Linked DNA regions of Alligator mississippiensis. The protein of the gene in region 1 purifies or fractionates together with the protein of each later gene. This does not show direct contact. Links are inferred from orthologs where the notes say so. Each region holds a gene or a part of one and is shown on either strand. Other genes may lie near its edges.

What was found.
Region 2: the proteins of LURAP1 (region 1) and CDC42BPB purify together in Homo sapiens (co-immunoprecipitation; 3 studies listed by BioGRID and IntAct, with this or other methods). This does not show direct contact. The link is inferred for Alligator mississippiensis from reciprocal best matches to the Homo sapiens genes LURAP1 and CDC42BPB.

The regions. Positions count from the first base shown.
Region 1 is NC_081828.1:3,374,984-3,383,660, forward strand, and holds the start of LURAP1 (leucine rich adaptor protein 1), read left to right. Parts: upstream 1-5,078; 5' UTR 5,079-5,143; coding exon 5,144-5,347; intron 5,348-8,677. UniProt on the Homo sapiens protein: Acts as an activator of the canonical NF-kappa-B pathway and drive the production of pro-inflammatory cytokines. Promotes the antigen (Ag)-presenting and priming function of dendritic cells via the canonical NF-kappa-B pathway.
Region 2 is NC_081825.1:285,808,762-285,816,621, reverse strand, and holds the start of CDC42BPB (serine/threonine-protein kinase MRCK beta), read left to right. Parts: upstream 1-4,331; 5' UTR 4,332-4,458; coding exon 4,459-4,636; intron 4,637-7,860. UniProt on the Homo sapiens protein: Serine/threonine-protein kinase which is an important downstream effector of CDC42 and plays a role in the regulation of cytoskeleton reorganization and cell migration. Regulates actin cytoskeletal reorganization via phosphorylation of PPP1R12C and MYL9/MLC2.

The DNA.
Region 1 (8,677 bases):
CCCACGGCCCATGCCAGTCTGACTGGGGTGGGGTGGGGTGGGGTAGGGGGGGTGGGATTGCTTCCTGCCTCCATGTGCGACATGCTTGTGACCCCGAGCAGAGGATCCAGACCCCCTCTGGAGTATGGGTGGCCAGGCAGGACCCCCCAGATGCCACCAGCTGTTCTGGAAGGTCTTGGCCTGAAGCCTGAGGTTAGCAAACCCCTCCCCAGGGCGTAGCGATGCCTGTGTTTTGCTATGGGGGTGTCCCAGGCTTTGCTGGGCGCCCCCTCCTTGCTGCTCCATGTGTTGGGGGGGGGAGGGTTTAAGCCGTCCCCAGAGGCGCTGGGTGCTGCTGCAGTCAGGGCTGGGCATGGCACGGGGCTGTGCCAATGCTCCTGATGGCACCAAACAGGAGGGTCCTGGCTGGAGGCTCTTGCTCCTCTGCTCAGGGTCAGACTGATGCCAGATTTGGGGTCCGGGAGGCATCTTCCCACCTGGTCAGATACAGTCCAGGGGGGTTTGCCTTCCTCTGTAGCAGGGGCACAGCTTCCACGTGGGCTCTTTTGACTGTCTATTAACCTTTTAGAGAAGCGGGATGTTGGCCGCCGTGGTCCCCCTGCTTGCCCTGCGGCAGGTTTGGGTGTGAGGTCTGGTGCTGTGTGGTGGTTTTGCTAGGAGGTTGTATGATGCGTGTGTCTGGGCTGGTTTGCACAGGGCTGATCCTGCCTCAGGGGTTGGACTGGATGTGACCTCGGCACCCTGCGGCTCTAGGATTTCTATGGGATCAGCTGGGACCCACCCGTATGCAATGGCTGGAAGGATCCCTTTTTCAGCTCACTGGATCCTCAGACCTCTCTGGAGGTATAGAAATGCTCCAGCCAGGCCCTGGGAGAGTCCTGCCCTTGGAGAAGAGGTCTTCGTGCTGCCAGGGGTCGGGGTATTGCCTGCACAGAGGGGCCTCCCTGGGAAGGCGGAGGCAGGCGGGGTGGCCTCAGCCTCCCTGCCTGTCCACTTCGGGGGCAAAGCTGTGCTTCCCACGCCTGGAGCTCGCAGCCAGTCCCAGGAGAGGCTGGACAGGAGCAGAGACTCTTCCTCTGCAGGGGCTGGGGCCTGGGCTTTGCATCCCATGCAAACCAGTTCCTTCAGGAAGGATCAGGACAGGTTGGAAAGAGTCCAGTGCAGACGGACCTGGGGGACGAGAGCGAGGAGGAGCAGCTGGGAGAACTGGGGGACTGAGCCTGCAGAAGAGAAGACTGAGGTGGGATTTGATAACAGTCTTGAAATCCCTGAAGGGCGATGGCAGGGAGGATGGAGATGGGCTTTTCTCTGTGGCTGTTGCGGCAGGACTGGGAGCAACAGTCTCAAGCTGCAGGAGGGGAACTGAGGCTGGAGATGAGGAGGAACTGTCTGGTGCTGAGGGGGGTCAGGCATTGGAAACAGGCACCGAGAGGTGGGGAATCTCCAGCCCGCGAAGTTTTCAAGAGCGGGTTGGACAGACACATGGCTGGGATGGGTTAGGGAAGGGTGCTCCTGCCTTGAGCCGGGGGCTGGACGGGACGTAACCTCCTGAGTCCCCTGCCAGCCCTGCTTTCCTGTGATCCAGTATATACACACATACATACTACACACAATTTATACACGCACACATACTTCTCAGCTTCCTCGGTGCAAAAATGAAATTTATTTCCTACCTATGGGACTTTTTACCATCTTTAACTTTCCCTGAGCCTGAGGAAGGGTGTGCAAGCCCAAAAGCTTGAAGGAAAAAATGATATATTTTGCAATTTCTCGGTTGGTCTAATAAAAGGTATCATCTCTGAGCCAAGAGTTCTAGAGTTGTCATTTCTTTTTTTGTCTCAGACCAACACAGCTACCAAATATATCCCTGACACATACCACACACACACACACACACGTATATACACACATACACATGTATACACGCATGCGTATACCTGCATATAGACACATATATGCGCATATCTATATACACATGTCTATACATGTACACACATATATATCACGGACACGGACATATATACACACATACATACACACACACGTATACAAAGGCTGGTAGAAGTTGGTCCTGACTTCAGAGGGTCTGCTCGGAGCGGCTGCACAGGGCTGGGGGTGCCAGCCCCTCTCATGCCTCCCCCATTCAAGCTGGCCTGCGGGGAGTGCCCACCCTCCGCCCATCTTGCAGGGGATCGGGGGCAGCCTGCCTTCATCCCCTGGGACCCCATCAGTTCCTGGGCTGCTGCCAGCAAGGCCAGGCCCTTTCCCTCTACCCTGCATCACCGCTCCGGGCTGACCCCGTTGCCCCCAGACGGGAGACCCAGGGATGCATGGCCCATAGATTTGGGCGAAGACAGCGTCGCTCCTCCACAAGGGGGCAGTGCGCCACCGCCCCTGGGCTGACTGGGCCCAGCCGGATGTCCCACTTGCAACAGGCTTGGGTTTGGGGTCTTGGCTCGTGGCTGGGGGAAGGGACCAACCTTCTCCTTGCCCCTAGGATGCTGTCCCCTACCACTGCACCATGCTGCAGTCAGCAGGCACTGGCACCTGGATGGAGCAGGCAGAGCGCTCGGCCCTCCTTTGTAGACAGGACATGGGCACTAAGTGACAGGGCCAGGGTCGCACAGGCAAGCAGTGGCAGAGCCCTGCTCTCCCTGGACAACATCCGCTGCCCGGATCTCAGCAGCTCGCACCTGGCCCTTGTGCGAAGGGAACTGCTCCATTGCCTGGTGGCAGCAGTAGGAGGCTGTTAGCCTCTCCTGGAGTGGACCAGGCACAGCCTACGAGCCCCTCAAATCCCCCATCCTCCTTTCCCCCCGCAGTGTCAAGGGCTGCATCTCCTCCCTCCACGCCTGCCTCCCCAGGGGGAGATCAGCAGCCAGCTGGCACGGCTGGAGGTGGGGGTCTCTGCGAGGGGCAGCCAGGCCCTCGGGTCCCGTCATGTCCTCAGTGTGGCCCCGTGAGTCCTGGTGCCTCCTCGCGGGCATCGGGGTCAGGAAAGAGGCCCAGGAGAAGGGACCGGGGACTCGGATGCCTGGGCTGTGGTCCACAGAGGTGTCTCTGACAGCTACTGACTGCCCGCAGGACCTTAGGCATGCCAAACATACCTCTCCTGCCTCAGTTTCTCCAGTCTGTGCAGTGGGGACAGGCCACTTCTGTGTCACCAGGCACTGCCCTACTACACAGAATAACACAGGCCTCTTCCCTTTGCCACTGACCCACTGCATGGCCTTGGGCATGACACTTAAGGTCGCGCTGTCCACAGAGACCAGAGGAGCGATTGGCTTTTCAGAGCAAAGTGCCTGGTGGTTTATAGCTCCATGCCTCAGTCACCCCATCTGTGAAATGGGCAGAGAACGGTGCAAGAGCCCACCTCTGCTGTGCAGCAAGACTGGAAGTGCCCCGCGGTGGTGGCAGGGGGTTCAGCACGTCCTCATGCCTAAGCACACACATATGCACACATGTATGCACTGGTGTGCACACATGCCAGGCCACAACACATGCTGCCCCCATCCTTGCCCAGCTCCTGTCCTTCAGGCCTGCTCGCTCCACAGCAAAACACCTCATGAGCTCCGTGCCTCAGTTTCCCCACCTGAACTGACACTGGAGCCTCAATGCCCCGGAGAGTGTGAGCATCCCCCACATGTGGCCCTGGTACAAAGGTAAGAGTCTACAAGTGCTGCAGGAGCTCTTCCTTCAGCTCATGCGAGAGACGATCCTGTTTTTAGTGTGGGTGAGCCGTTGCGGTGCCTCCGACCCGCTTCTCCGCATGCTCCGGCCGTGCAAATGATTAGGGACTTATGCAAATACTATTATACACGGTCAGGTGTAACCAGGCCATGGAGACCCCACGGAGGTGGAGAAAGGGATGGTCCTGGAAAGCAAGAAATGCCCATCTCTCTCAACTGCGTGAAGGACTCCTGCACGGTTCTTTATCCATTTTTATCCCAGCAGGCCCTGGGGGCTCAAACCCAGATCCAGACCCTGTCTGTGCTAGGTCCTGTACAGACGTGCAACCAGCTCGGTCCCTGCCTCTGAGCACACAGTGATCACCGGGTTCGGTAGACACGGGCACAGGGGACTGAGAAGAACTAACAGTGTCCTTTATGGCGGAGCAGCACTCAACCTCTGCAGACCCTTGGTCTGTCTCTCGTTAATTCACCGAATGGAGGGGCCTTCTCCCAATGCCCGACCTCCGTGGTCTCCTCCATAAGGGAGCGTCTCCAAACGAGCACTTCTCTCGCTGCAGAGGACTGGCAGCCCGATGGACCAGCGGGAGCGGGGCTGGGCAGGCCGTGCCTTACACACGGTGGCGCAGCTGGCTAACGAAGCCTCCAAACGGAAATGGCTAATGAATCACCCTTGGTCGGGAGAAGGCGGGGGTGTCAATTATGGCCCTCGGCCGCGTGCCGGCAGCAGCACTCCTGCTCCCATGGCCTTAGTCCACTGGGCCCTGACACCCCGGGGATCCCCTTGGCACTTGCTCAGCTGTTTCCAGGGTCTCAGCAGGCCTTGCACGGAGGGGGCAGCCCGTCCCTACAAGCCGTGCACGGCAATCGTCCCAAGGCTGTTACTGCACAGAGTGGGGAAACTGAGGCACGGGACAGCTTCGCAGCCCTCAGCCAGCTCCTTCCAGCACTTGCACACCTGCTTCCTTTGCCAGCTGTCAGCGCCGCCGTGCTGTGGGCCTGGCGAAAGCCCCCATCCCAGCCAGGAGACACTCGGGGGGGGGCCGGGGCTGGTCTCTGTGGGACGCCTTCTCTGAAGCGGGGAGCCCGGCTGCGGCGGGGAGAGGGGCAGCAGGTGCAGCTCCGAGTTCAGATGTGGGCATTAAGTCTGGGTTTCTGGGAGCCGCCTGGGCAGGGCGCGGCCCCCCGCAACCACCGGCTCCCGGGCCCTGGCAGCCGCGGGCTCGGCTTCCCCGCAGAGCGGAGACATGCCCGAGGCGGCGCAGGAGGGCGGTGGCAGGGAGAGGGAGCGGCGAGGGGAGGGGAGGGGGCGCCGGGCGCGGGGGAGGGCGCGGGCGAGGGCGCGCGCCGCGTTTGTGCGCGCGCGCCGCTCGGGGGAATACGGCGCGGGCGGCGGGCGCACACGGAGCCTTACGGCGGCGGGGGGCCGCGGGTTCGAGGCCGGCCCGGGCGGGATGGAGCCGGGCGCGGCGCTGCCCGCCGAGCTGCGCGAGCTGGAGGGCAAGGCGGGGCGCGGGACGCCCGCGGGGCTGGCGCGGTGGCTGCGCGGGGACCCGCTGCTGCCGCTGCCCCCGGGGCCGGGGCCGGGGCCGGGGCCGGCCGGGGCGGGGGAGGGCGCGGGGCTGTCCGGCAAGATCGCGGCGCTGCGGCTCGAGCTGGTGAGTGCCCCCCCCGCAAAGCCCCGCTGTTTTGCAATAGACCCTTTTGGGTTGCAATACCCCCCCACCTTTGCAAAGCCCCGCTGTTTTGCAGCACGCCCCCTGCACTAGCCCCCTCCCGCAGCCGCACCTCCCCCAGGGTTGCAGCACCCCTCCCGGGCTCTGCAGAGCCCCGCTGTTCTGCAATAGACCCCCCAGCTCTGCAATAGTAGCCCCCCCCCTCCGCAGTAGCCCCCCCGCAGCAATGTCGCTGCCCACCCTGGCAGCACCCCCAGCTCTACCGTAGCCCCCACAGTAGCCCCCCTCCCCGGCTCTGAGTAGTGACCCCCCCACAAGGATTTGCAGTGCCCCCCCAGGGCAGCCCCCCCCAGCTCTGCAGTAGCTTCATGTAGCAACTGCCCCCGCAATAGCTTCCACAGCCCCGAGCCCTCTCCCCCACCTTTAACACCCCCCCCATCTGCAATAGCCCCCGTGGACAGCAATACCCCTGCCCCAATTCTGCCATCCTGCCCCCCAGGCAGCAACCCCCCCCAGCTCTGCAATATTCCCCCTGGGGCAGAGACCCCCCAGTATTGCAATAGCCCCCCTGCAGGGTAGAGACTCCAGCCTGGCCATAGCCGCCCCTCGGTAGTGACCCCCCCCTCCCCCCCGATCTGCAGTAAATAACCCCCCCAGCTGAGCCATAGCTGCCCCCCAGGCATCACCCCCTCTGTTCTGCCCCCTCCCGCACCCGGCCAGGGCCCAGGCCCCCCAGGCTGTGCTGGGGCACATGGGGGGCTTCGCAGGCTCAGGCTGGAGCTATTCGGTGCCAGGGCAGCTGTGGGGGCCCGTTCATGACCGTCACCTTTGCTGTTCCCTATCCCCTCCGCGGTGCCCAAACCCCCGGGGCTGGCTGGGAGTCCCCTTCCGGCGGCTCCGGTGCCCCACACATCCCGCTCAGTCCGGGCCAGCTGGGCCCGAGGTAACATCGCGAGTCCTGATGATCCGGCAGGAATCGGGCCCCCAGAAATGCAAATCCTTCCTCGTCCCTAATTACACCCATTCTCCACCCACCCGGAAGGAGGCTGCAGAACTGGCCGCTCCTGGGAGCAAGGAGACCCGGGCTTCGTTCCCGGTGCTGCCCCCCACTCACTGGGTGACCTCAAGCCCATCACTTAGCTCATTTGGGCCTCAGTTCGCCTGGCTGTAGCCTGCAGGAGGTGCCAACCCATTTTATAAAGCGTTTAGAGCGCCAAAAGGAGCAGGGTGGCGTTGTTATAGGACAGGAGGTCAAGGAAATGGAAGTGCCTGGGGCTTGATCCTGGCAGGTGCCAGGGATGGGGGTGCAGAGCTGCTTTCTGCTCCATCTCTGGCAGAGCCGCTCGGGGCCAGCTGCACTCCCTGCCCCGCGCTGACCCGGCCTGGGATTATCGGGGAGGGGCCGGCTCCAGCGTCGCCCTGGCCTGCCCCGTGCCTCGACCCTTAGCGCCCTGTGCCTGTCCACGGCTCCACGCCTGTGTGGGAGGGCGCCTGCCATGTTACAATGGTGAGGCGGTGAGCAGAGCCCTGCGGCCGGCTGTGCTGTTCCGCCCCAGAAGCAGCTGCGAGTGGCGGGGGTTGGTCCGTAGCTTGCGATGAAAGCAGCTCCTTGCGGGTAATAATAGCACAGAGGAGTCTAATGAGGACACCCCGATCCCATATCACCCCCCTTCCTTGATCTCCTGCCCTATAACAACGGCACCCTGCTCCTATCGGCGCTCTACACGCTTTATAAAATGGGTTGGTACCTCCTGCAGGCTACAGCCAGGCAAACTGAGGCCCAGATTAGCTAAGTGACGGGCTTGAGGTCACCCAGCAAGTGAGTGGCAGCGCTGGGGATGCAGCCCAGACCTCCTGGATCCCAGGAGCGGCCCATTCTGCAACCTCCTTTCGGGTGGACGCAGGCTGGGTGTAATGAGGGAGGAGGAAGGGTTTGCATTTCTGGGGACCTGATTCATCCCGGATACAACACAGAAGCCTGCTTTCCCAGCGTCTTGTGTGCAGGCCTGTTCTCTCTGAGTGTCGGATAGGCTCTCCCGGGCTGGCCTTTGCAGCAGGAGATGGCTCTGGGGGTCTGAAGCCCGTGCCCCCATGCTATAAAGACCCAGCCGAGGGGGGTGGGGGGGGTCCTCCAGATCCCTGGCATGAGCAGGCACAAATGTAATGAAGAGAGCTCCCTGCATTGGTTTCTGTAGCCACCGATCTGGCACCAGCCTCTTCCTTCCCTTCCCTGCTGGTTTTGCTGCCTGCGACGGAGCCTGTCCTTCTGGCGGGCCGGCCCACGCTCTCCCAGCTGCCGGCCCCCGCAGCCCCCTTCCCTGACGCCCGACTGACGTACACCATGCATGGATACCAGATGCAGCAAAACCCAGCTCCGCGTGCCTCCGACGGGGGCTTTTTTAAAGGGGCATCGGCAAGGAAATTGCTTTCGCATGGTGCTGCTCGCAGCGTTGTGGCTCAGGGGAGCAGGGACGATCTAGGGAGCCACGGCTTTTACCGGCGGGCCGCTTTCCCGGTGGGTTTCTAGGCTGAGGTCTAAACACGGAAGCTGCTTCAGAGGCCGGGGATGCAGTGGGGGTGCTCACGGCACCCCAGGGCGGTGTTGTTAACCCTGCTCCCTAATGTGGAAACTGAGGCACGGAGCAGCTAAGTGATGTGCCCGAGGTCACCCAGGTGGCATGACTGGAGCTGTGGCGGGTCTCTTGTCCGGAGGCTTGAGAATTGGCGGAGGCAGGCCCCGGGCTTGGCTAAGTGCAATGCGGGACGCAGCCCGGCATCCCTGGCTGTTGCACGCTGTGGATCTCACCCCCAGCACCCTGCAGGAAGGCAACCTCGCTCTCCACGCCCCGGCATCCTTCAGCCCTGGGGTCACCTTGGCTCAGGAGGCCCGGAGCGCAGACGGGTGGGCGTGATGGCAGGCTTTGCACGCAATGAATATCGAATCTGGTTCAATAGAGACTAATAGGGGCTGGAAGGGAGCTGCAGAAGTCCAGCCCCTGAGGCAGCATCAGCCCTGTGCAAACCGTGCAGCCGCACGCCAGTTGTCTGTCCCTCACCCTCTGCTTGTACTGGAATCCAAGACGAGGGGCTTTCCCCCATGTTGAAGGGGGTGGGGACTCGTCTTGGACCCGAGTGCGAATCCTCTAGAGGCGGGTGAGCAGGAGAGCTGGTGGGTCCCGGTGGAAAGCATTCACCGGTGGGCCTGACCTGGGTACGAGGACTGGCTCTCGTGCTCTGCGCCCTTTCTTGCACCTCCGTAAGGAGAGGGGAGTTGTGGAGAAGGTCCAGAGAAGGGTAACAAGGATGATGCAT
Region 2 (7,860 bases), on another chromosome or scaffold:
AGTCTTTCCCATTTCTTTATTCTTTTCAATCCAAAACTGACCTGTGGGTGGATTTTCCTGAAACCATAAAACAGTGACACAGCTATTTCCTGTTGCCATCAAAATTCTATAACAGAATTTCTCTCTCTGCCAGTTACTAAGTTACCTGGAGAACAGCCAGAAAAATAAAATGGAGGCCTAAGTTGGAGTGGATTTAAAAGACCCTGTTCAGTGGCCATCTGGACTTAACATCTTCAGTTTTGCAAATCTAGGACTACACCAGAAAACATATGCCTGTGAACCCTTTTGCTTACACTGGGTCCCAAATGGGAGAGATTTTGTAAGATCAGAGTAGTGTAAAAGAGAGGGGTTGTATTTTTCCACTGAAATATGCAACAGGAAAAAGAACAAGCAAGATGGATCACTGAATTCATCTTAGCCAAATCACTTTTATTTTTAGTACACAGTTGGTCTACGTGAGTAACAGAATCAGACTACCTTAAGCTACAATGTCAAACTTACATTTGCCTGATGTCATTTTTCCACTGGGGGGTTGTTTTTCAAACCTCCGGATCTTAGCATCAAAACCCAGCACTATATTAAAAAATGCAAATGTATCTTTTTCAATCTTTCAACAATGTCTGGAGCAGCCAGCTGATCAGCAGTCCCAATAATGATTCTGCGTGGGCTAGTCTGAGATGTGCAAAACACTTGTATAATTTTCAGTGCTGATCCAATTCCATCTTTTGGTCCATCTTTTTTTTACCTTTGCAAATCTTCACTCACACCAGTATATATCAAGAATTACTGTTGAAACCCAGGGAGATACACAGGTGTAGACCAGTGAGGGCCAGCCTTTTTTGACAGGAGTGCCATGAATTAGCTCTGCACCCTTTCCAAGTGCCATTCTGATCCCCTTTCCCTGCCCGATCTGTTGCTCTACTCTCTACTTTCTGCCCTGTAATCTTTGCCTGATCTCCTGCTCTACTTTCTGCATGATCTACTGCTCTCCTGTCTATCCTCTCTCCTGTCTGTTGTGTGCCACACACAGAGGCCGCCTGTGCCATTTGTGGTATGTGTGCTGAAGGTTGCCCAACCCTAGTGTAAGACAAATCCAAGAGACTGGAGACTTTGGTTATTTCTGCATCCAGTTGCAGTTTCCTGGGTACCCCCTCTATCAAAAAAGGCTATGACTCAGTCACCTATACTGCTGCACAAGAAAGGGGATAACAGATCTTAACAGGTGGTGGGCCTGATTATCCTTCCACAGCTCCTGATATAACCTCCCCAACATCAGTGGAATGACCCAAGCAAAAATGAGGTAAGAATCAGACCCAAAATTTTCATAAGTTCCAGGGTAGATCATTGAGGGAAGCACACAAATTTAGAAAAAGTGCATCCTCCCTCATGTGCAGAATGTGTGCACTTTTACATCTGGTTCAGCAATTACTTGAGCATCTTTCAACCATTGTCCTCCTTGGCCCTTATTCTGAACAATTTTGAAGATATGATGGTAAGCAGAAAATGCAAAACTTTCCTTTCAAATAAAGAAGCAGCCCCAGGAAGTCAGTTGTGCTCATTGTGTTGCTAAGGATGGTACAGACAGATGTGGTATTGGTGTTGATGGGTTGCCAGATGATCTATCTGCAACCAGGAAGGAATTCTAAAAATACCCATATATTCTGTGAGAGGCAAGTCTTTCTTAGGGTGATAAGAAATCATGCAGTTGATCTAATTAAAGATAGCAACCTAAACAATCCTTGACTCTCATATAATTTCTATACCACAATGGCTACAACACCACTCTTAAATTACTGTATGTTCTGAGTAAGATGATATTTTTCCCAAGGGCCTGGGATAGGGATTACAAAGGTACAGCAGTCTTTTAGAGATGATAAGAGTTTTACTTCACAGTAGCCTTTCTGTACAGGTTACAGTACAGGTTTTAGTCTGACATTCAGTTTGACTACCAGGTAGTAAAATACAGCCTGTGGAGATGACAGGTCTGTCATGTCCATCCTTCATCATAGTATGTACCAAGCCCCCATCTTGTTTTGAACCTAGTGCATGAAAACAACAAGCATCAGCCTTTAGTACATCTTGGTCTGAGTAGCCCATGGATGTAACAGAGCAAAGTTGACATGCCAGACTCTCTTTACACAGTCGCAATGTTTGGAACCAAGTAAAGAGAACTTATACCCCAGTGCCACGTCACACCATGACCTGAGCTCTGTGGCTTACAGAGATTCTGTATCCTAGAAGAGACATCATGCCTGAGGAGGACAACCCCCTAGAAACAAGAGCTTCCAATCTTAATACTGGTAATACCTCATTGGACCCCAACAGGCCATAATCCCAGGAGACAACACTTTCTGTCGTACAACACTTCATCTGACCTTAAGCAGCTGTGATCTTGGCCCCTTAATATGGCAACTCCCACCACTGGGTCCTGACTGACTGTAAGCTCTGGATATGACAGTTCAGGGCTTAGTAACATAGTCCTCACAGACAACAGGTGCTGATGTATTACCTGAGTGACTATGGCCCTGGTAATGACAGCCGCCAGTCTGCAAAGCTCCATCTGGCTCTGTTTGGCTGTAGCTTTTAGAGACAAGCATTTCCTGCATGCAAGATTTTGACACAGAGATCTGAAATCAGCTGGCCTTACTGCTCTGCGATGACAGCTTTTATCATGCAATGATCCATCTAGCCCTGACAGTTCACCTGTTATGAAGTCACACCCTCTCACCAGGCAGGTTTGCATTTAGTCTAGAGTGAATTCATGTCTAGACTTTTCATTCCATCCAGGAAGAGCACGCACCAACTGCTGAAACTTCCTTAGCCTGATGAAGGGTTTTTGAACCCGAAAGCTTGCTTAATAAATATTCTCCAACTATTTGGATTAGTCTAATAAAAGATATCAAATTCACCCAAGGAACCTTGTTTGCCCATGTCCTTAGACCAACATGGCTACAACCTAAACCCGTCTAGACTTGTATGTTTCTGAGGAACTGTGCATCTGGTCCCAAGTAACTGTGGTTCGCTGAGATAACAGCTCCTAGCAGGCCATTTTAACAGAATAGAAACAATGCAGCTCAAGCCAGTGCAGTGTTGATACTCTGACTACATTTCACATCTTCCTTCAGTTTGCATAGCAGCCCTAACTTGCTAAGCTTCATTTGTCTCTAAGCAGCCATGGGCCCTGAAGTCCTGCCAAAACGCAGGGGACCGCAGGGGCAAGCGGCTGCAGTCCCTGCAGAAGACAGCTATAGGGTAGGATGTGGGTGGCCCATCCTACCCTACAGTCAATTCCCAAATGGTGCAAAAGTTTCCTTAGGCCCTCCCCCATGGCTGGGCATGAGCACTCCCAGCAGCATGGGTTGGCTGTGGCCCTTGAAGGCAGCAGCTTCTGAAATGCCAGGATGCTCCTAGGCCTGAGTAACCAGGATCGGGCCCAGAGCAGAGCCTCTCCGGGCACTGGGGTAGCCGTAGCAGTGCACCACGCTGCCTCTACCCTGGGTCACACGCGCGCCCAGTAGGTGAGTGAGACCGAAGGCAGCGCAGAGCTGGGATCACATGTGCATCAGGCATCAGCTCGTGGCCTCCCACACGGGCCAAGGGGGCAGCAAGTACCAATGCCCACAGGTCCATGCGAGGCTGCTGGCCCAGCCGGGCCTGGCCTGGGGCTGACATATGCCTTTGGGATGCTTGGACCTGCAGCGAGGGCTGCTTCTGCCAGGCCACATGGGCACGTGCCTGGCAGGCAGGGTTGCCAACTCTGTTTGCATCTATTGCAGGAGGTTGCTGGAACGCCGCTGTGCCCGCGACACACGACGTGGACGTGCCCACGGGCTCACAGATATCAGTTACCGATTACGGTGCATCAGGAAAGCACGTGCACATTGCTATTCCCTTTTAAAACCCCACTGGACTACTGCACAAATCGGATTCAACATTTTAAGAAAAGCCCTGTCATTTATCTCCCGCCAGTCTCCGGGGGATTAATCTCTTAATTCCTGCAGACTCCAAGGCCATCCTGAAGGGTGGACACAACCCTACTGCCAGCTCCCCTGTGCCACCCTCCGGCTTGAAAACGACTCTGCTTCCTTCCCTCTCCCCAAGCAGGGCGCGAATCTGCGGGAAAGAATCGACAGAGCCCCCGCCTGCCTTTAATGTTCCACACACGAATCTGCAGGTGCCGCTCTCCCGGCTAGTTATCTCGCACTACGGCGAGCGGCTCGGCCCAAACTTCCGCGGCTCAGCGCTTTGGTCGCACGTCTGTGCGTGGGCACGCCGGCGCGGGGGGCGTGGCTGCAATCCCGGCCGGGCCGCTCGGTGCCGGAGGCAGAGGCGGCGGCGGCGGCGGAGGAAGAGGAAGAGGAAGGCGCGGTTGCGGCGGCCCACGGAGCAGCGGGGCCCGCAGATGTGGGCGTGAGGGGGAGCAGGTCCGGGCGCGGGTCTGCGCGGCCGCGCGGCGCCATGTCGGCCAAGGTGCGGCTGAAGCGGCTGGAGCAGCTGGTGCTGGACGGGCCGCAGCGGCACGACGCGGCGCTCAGCGTGGAGGCGCTGCTCGACCTGCTGCTCGGCGTGTGCGGGGAGTGCGGCCGCGACGCGCCGATGCGCCGGGACCGCTACGTCTCCGACTTCCTCGAGTGGGGTGAGCCGGGGGCAGGGGGGCCCTTGGCCTGACCCGACCCGACCTGACCTGACCCCCGGCGGGGCTAATCCGGCGCCTGCTGGCACCCCGCGGGGAGGGCGGCTGTCAGCGGGTCCGTGGAGCAGGCCGGAGGGGCGAGGACGGGGTGCGCGGCCAGGGGGAGGTGGCGGCGGCGGCAGCGCCCAGGGCAAAAGAGGTCTCTCGCCGCAGGGAGCGAGCGGCTTGGAGGAAGCCCGTTTGCAAGGCGGAGGCCCCCGGGCGCTGGGGGAAGCACTGGTGGCTGCTGACTGGCGGGCCCAGCACTAGGGAAGGGCGGCTGACGTGCAGCAGGAGAAGTGGTTGCAGGGGAGTGGGCTGCGTACGGGGGCAGCTGTGTTGTGCCGTACGCTTGAAAGATCCCTCTTTTTATTAAGAAAAAGCCCAGACTTGCTTGGGGAGGAGGGTGTAGTGGGGGTGTCGGCTAGAGCAAATGCAGGTTGTGAATGTTTCGGGCCGGCGCACTCAACACGGGACAGCTGGTTCTGCTTCTTTTCTGAGGGGACCTCCACTCTTTGTTAGACCCTAACAAACTAAGAGGATTCACTTCCTGGAGTCTTCTGTTGACGTCAGTAATGCGATTGCCAACTGAATAATTAACTACTTTATCGCATCTGCCTTGCAGGGCTGCGGCCCTGGATGCATCGATTATGTGTTTTGTGACAGCTCGGTGTGCTCTCTGCACGCTGGTCGCTGTCTGTTTTAAAGCCATTACTTGCGATGCACTGAATTTGTATGAGGAGACAAGTGGCTGGATGTAACGGTAGCTAGACCCCGTTGACATGGTTGTCCTGAAGAGAAGAGAATGGTTTGGGGTTAGACAGGTGTCTGGGGGCTGAGATGCTTTCTTTACAGTTCTTGGTGATAATCTCCATATTGTTATCTGTTGTGTGACTGACAGGCAGATTTATTCAGTTACTCATAAAATTGCTTCTCATAGTTTTTATTTATCAAACTCTTTGAATTAAATATGAAAAGGTTGCAGACATGATCAGATGTATGGCAGGAGTATATTTATTGTTAAGCTAGAGTAGTCCTGTAATGCAGAGTAGCTCTTTAATAAATAATGGAAATGTATGCAAGTTGCCCTCTGGTGATACAGGATAGAGGTGCAAGCTTGTACTCCAAAAGGCTGCATGGAAAAGCTGCAGTACTGTATATGTTGCATAAATATAAACTTCCTTTTGGTGCAGTTAAGGTTAATTGTACACGTTTCACAGCTCCTCCAACAATACATGTCCTGAAATGCCAACTCTGGGACACCTTTCACCTGTGCCATAATACCCTTATTATACATTTTCATTGATATGGTTCTTCAGCACCAGGAACATGTTTATGCCTCCAGCTAATAAAAGAACATGGGCTCAACATCTTAATCTTCCTCATTGTGTAATTTGCAAGTTTAATTACAGCCTCAGCGATGTTAAGAGATTATTCAGGATTGATGTGCAGAACTTGATTGAGCACTGTTAAGTGTGTGTAGGATCAGTATGAAGTTGTAGTTAAAATGTGGGCTACACTGTAAATGGATATTGGTGTTTTCTCATGCTGGTTAGAGGGAGAAGGAACTTCCTATGGACAAAATAGAGTCTGTCATAAATCGGTGAACATATAGTATGTGGACATCAAGATACAGTGAGAGGCAGCTTATAATTTCTTTGTTATTTGGTAGATATCTCAATAGTATGCAGAAAAATTAAAAGTAGTTTAGGTGTGGAATTTTGGGGGCTTTTTTTTGATGAAGTTGAAGCATGGTTTGGTCCTGGAGGTGCATGGCGAGGCCCCATGACTTGTCGAGATGGAGGACATGGTTGAGATGTGAGGGATAGCTGTGGATGTGGACAGGCCAGCAGGTCTGTTTCTGTCTTTCTGAAGCCCAGCTTAGTGCAGTGCTGAAGGCAGTGTCATGTATTATATCTACTCTGCCAGGCCAGCCACTGCCTCGCACAGTTGCTGTATCTGACAGACCTTCAGAGCTTCAAAAAGTGGGAGAGCCCCTGGTGCTGGAACCATAAGGCTTCTCTTCCAGGAACCCTGGCCGGTACTTCCTGACAATCAATGCCACAAGGTTCAGGTGAATCTCACCATTTCCCGGTACAGTAGAGTGTGAGGGGTGGCAATTTTTTGGAACATCTTGTGACTTTAGTCCCACTGAACACACGAGCCAAGAGGCTGCCATCTTAACCCAAGACAGTTGGATTTTGTTTTCCCACAGGAAATGGAGCTCTTGGGCATATTGTGTTCCAGTTGAATCATATTCGCCGTTTGGGGAAGAGGAAAAGTTGCATCAAAATATCTTTTAGCCAAGGGAAAACAAGCTGATCTAGAAGCTAGGAGAAGCATTCAGATCTCTTATTTGTCCACGTATTTCTGTTTATAACTCCCATTATCATTCTCATTACCGTAGAAGATAAGCATGTAATAGCCACACCATTTCCCAAATGAAGTAATTGAGAGAGTGCACAGTGTTCTTACTGGGATGAATGTGGTGTGTACTCTGATCACATACATGTGGAAATGGTCTGCCAAATCTTTGTGCTTGGTGTTACAGTCTAAACATTACTTTAACTGCTGTCCAATAGTCTTCCTCTTGAGCCAGTAATAGAAAACTGAGTCCTGACTGGAGGGCCTCTTGTTTTAACACTGTCCCAAAGTCATCAGTAAGACCCAGGAGTTGTGACTCACAGGGTTCTTCTGTCATCTAGTAAATGAGCATAATTTTTTTTTCTGCCACTGTGTTGAGTTCTCCTCCATATAACAAAGAAAATAAAAATTAACTCCCCAAAGTTACTTTAATAATGTAAGTAATATAGATGTCAGAGATGGAGATCTGAAGGTCTTGTGCTGCTGACCTGTGTGCTAGGAATGCTTGGAAGGAAGAGGCTGCTGTAGTAGGAAGGATCCAGCTGGGTTGCCCCAACTGCTCCCCTCAGTTATCACGAGCTGTCCAACTTCTGAGTGGCCAGGGGCCCCCCACTACCTCTGCTGTGTTGCTGGTGGCCATGCGCTGTGCTGTCTAGAAGCCCCCTGGGCTGCCCTGCCCTGCCCTGTCCTGCTTCCACGGTTCATGGTGAGGGCAGGAAATGAAAACTGGCAGAGAGAGGGTGAGCCTTGAGACCACAGTGGCAATACTGGAGAACAATGGGGAAGCAGTGCCCAAATGGGAGCCTGGGAGCAATGAGTTACCC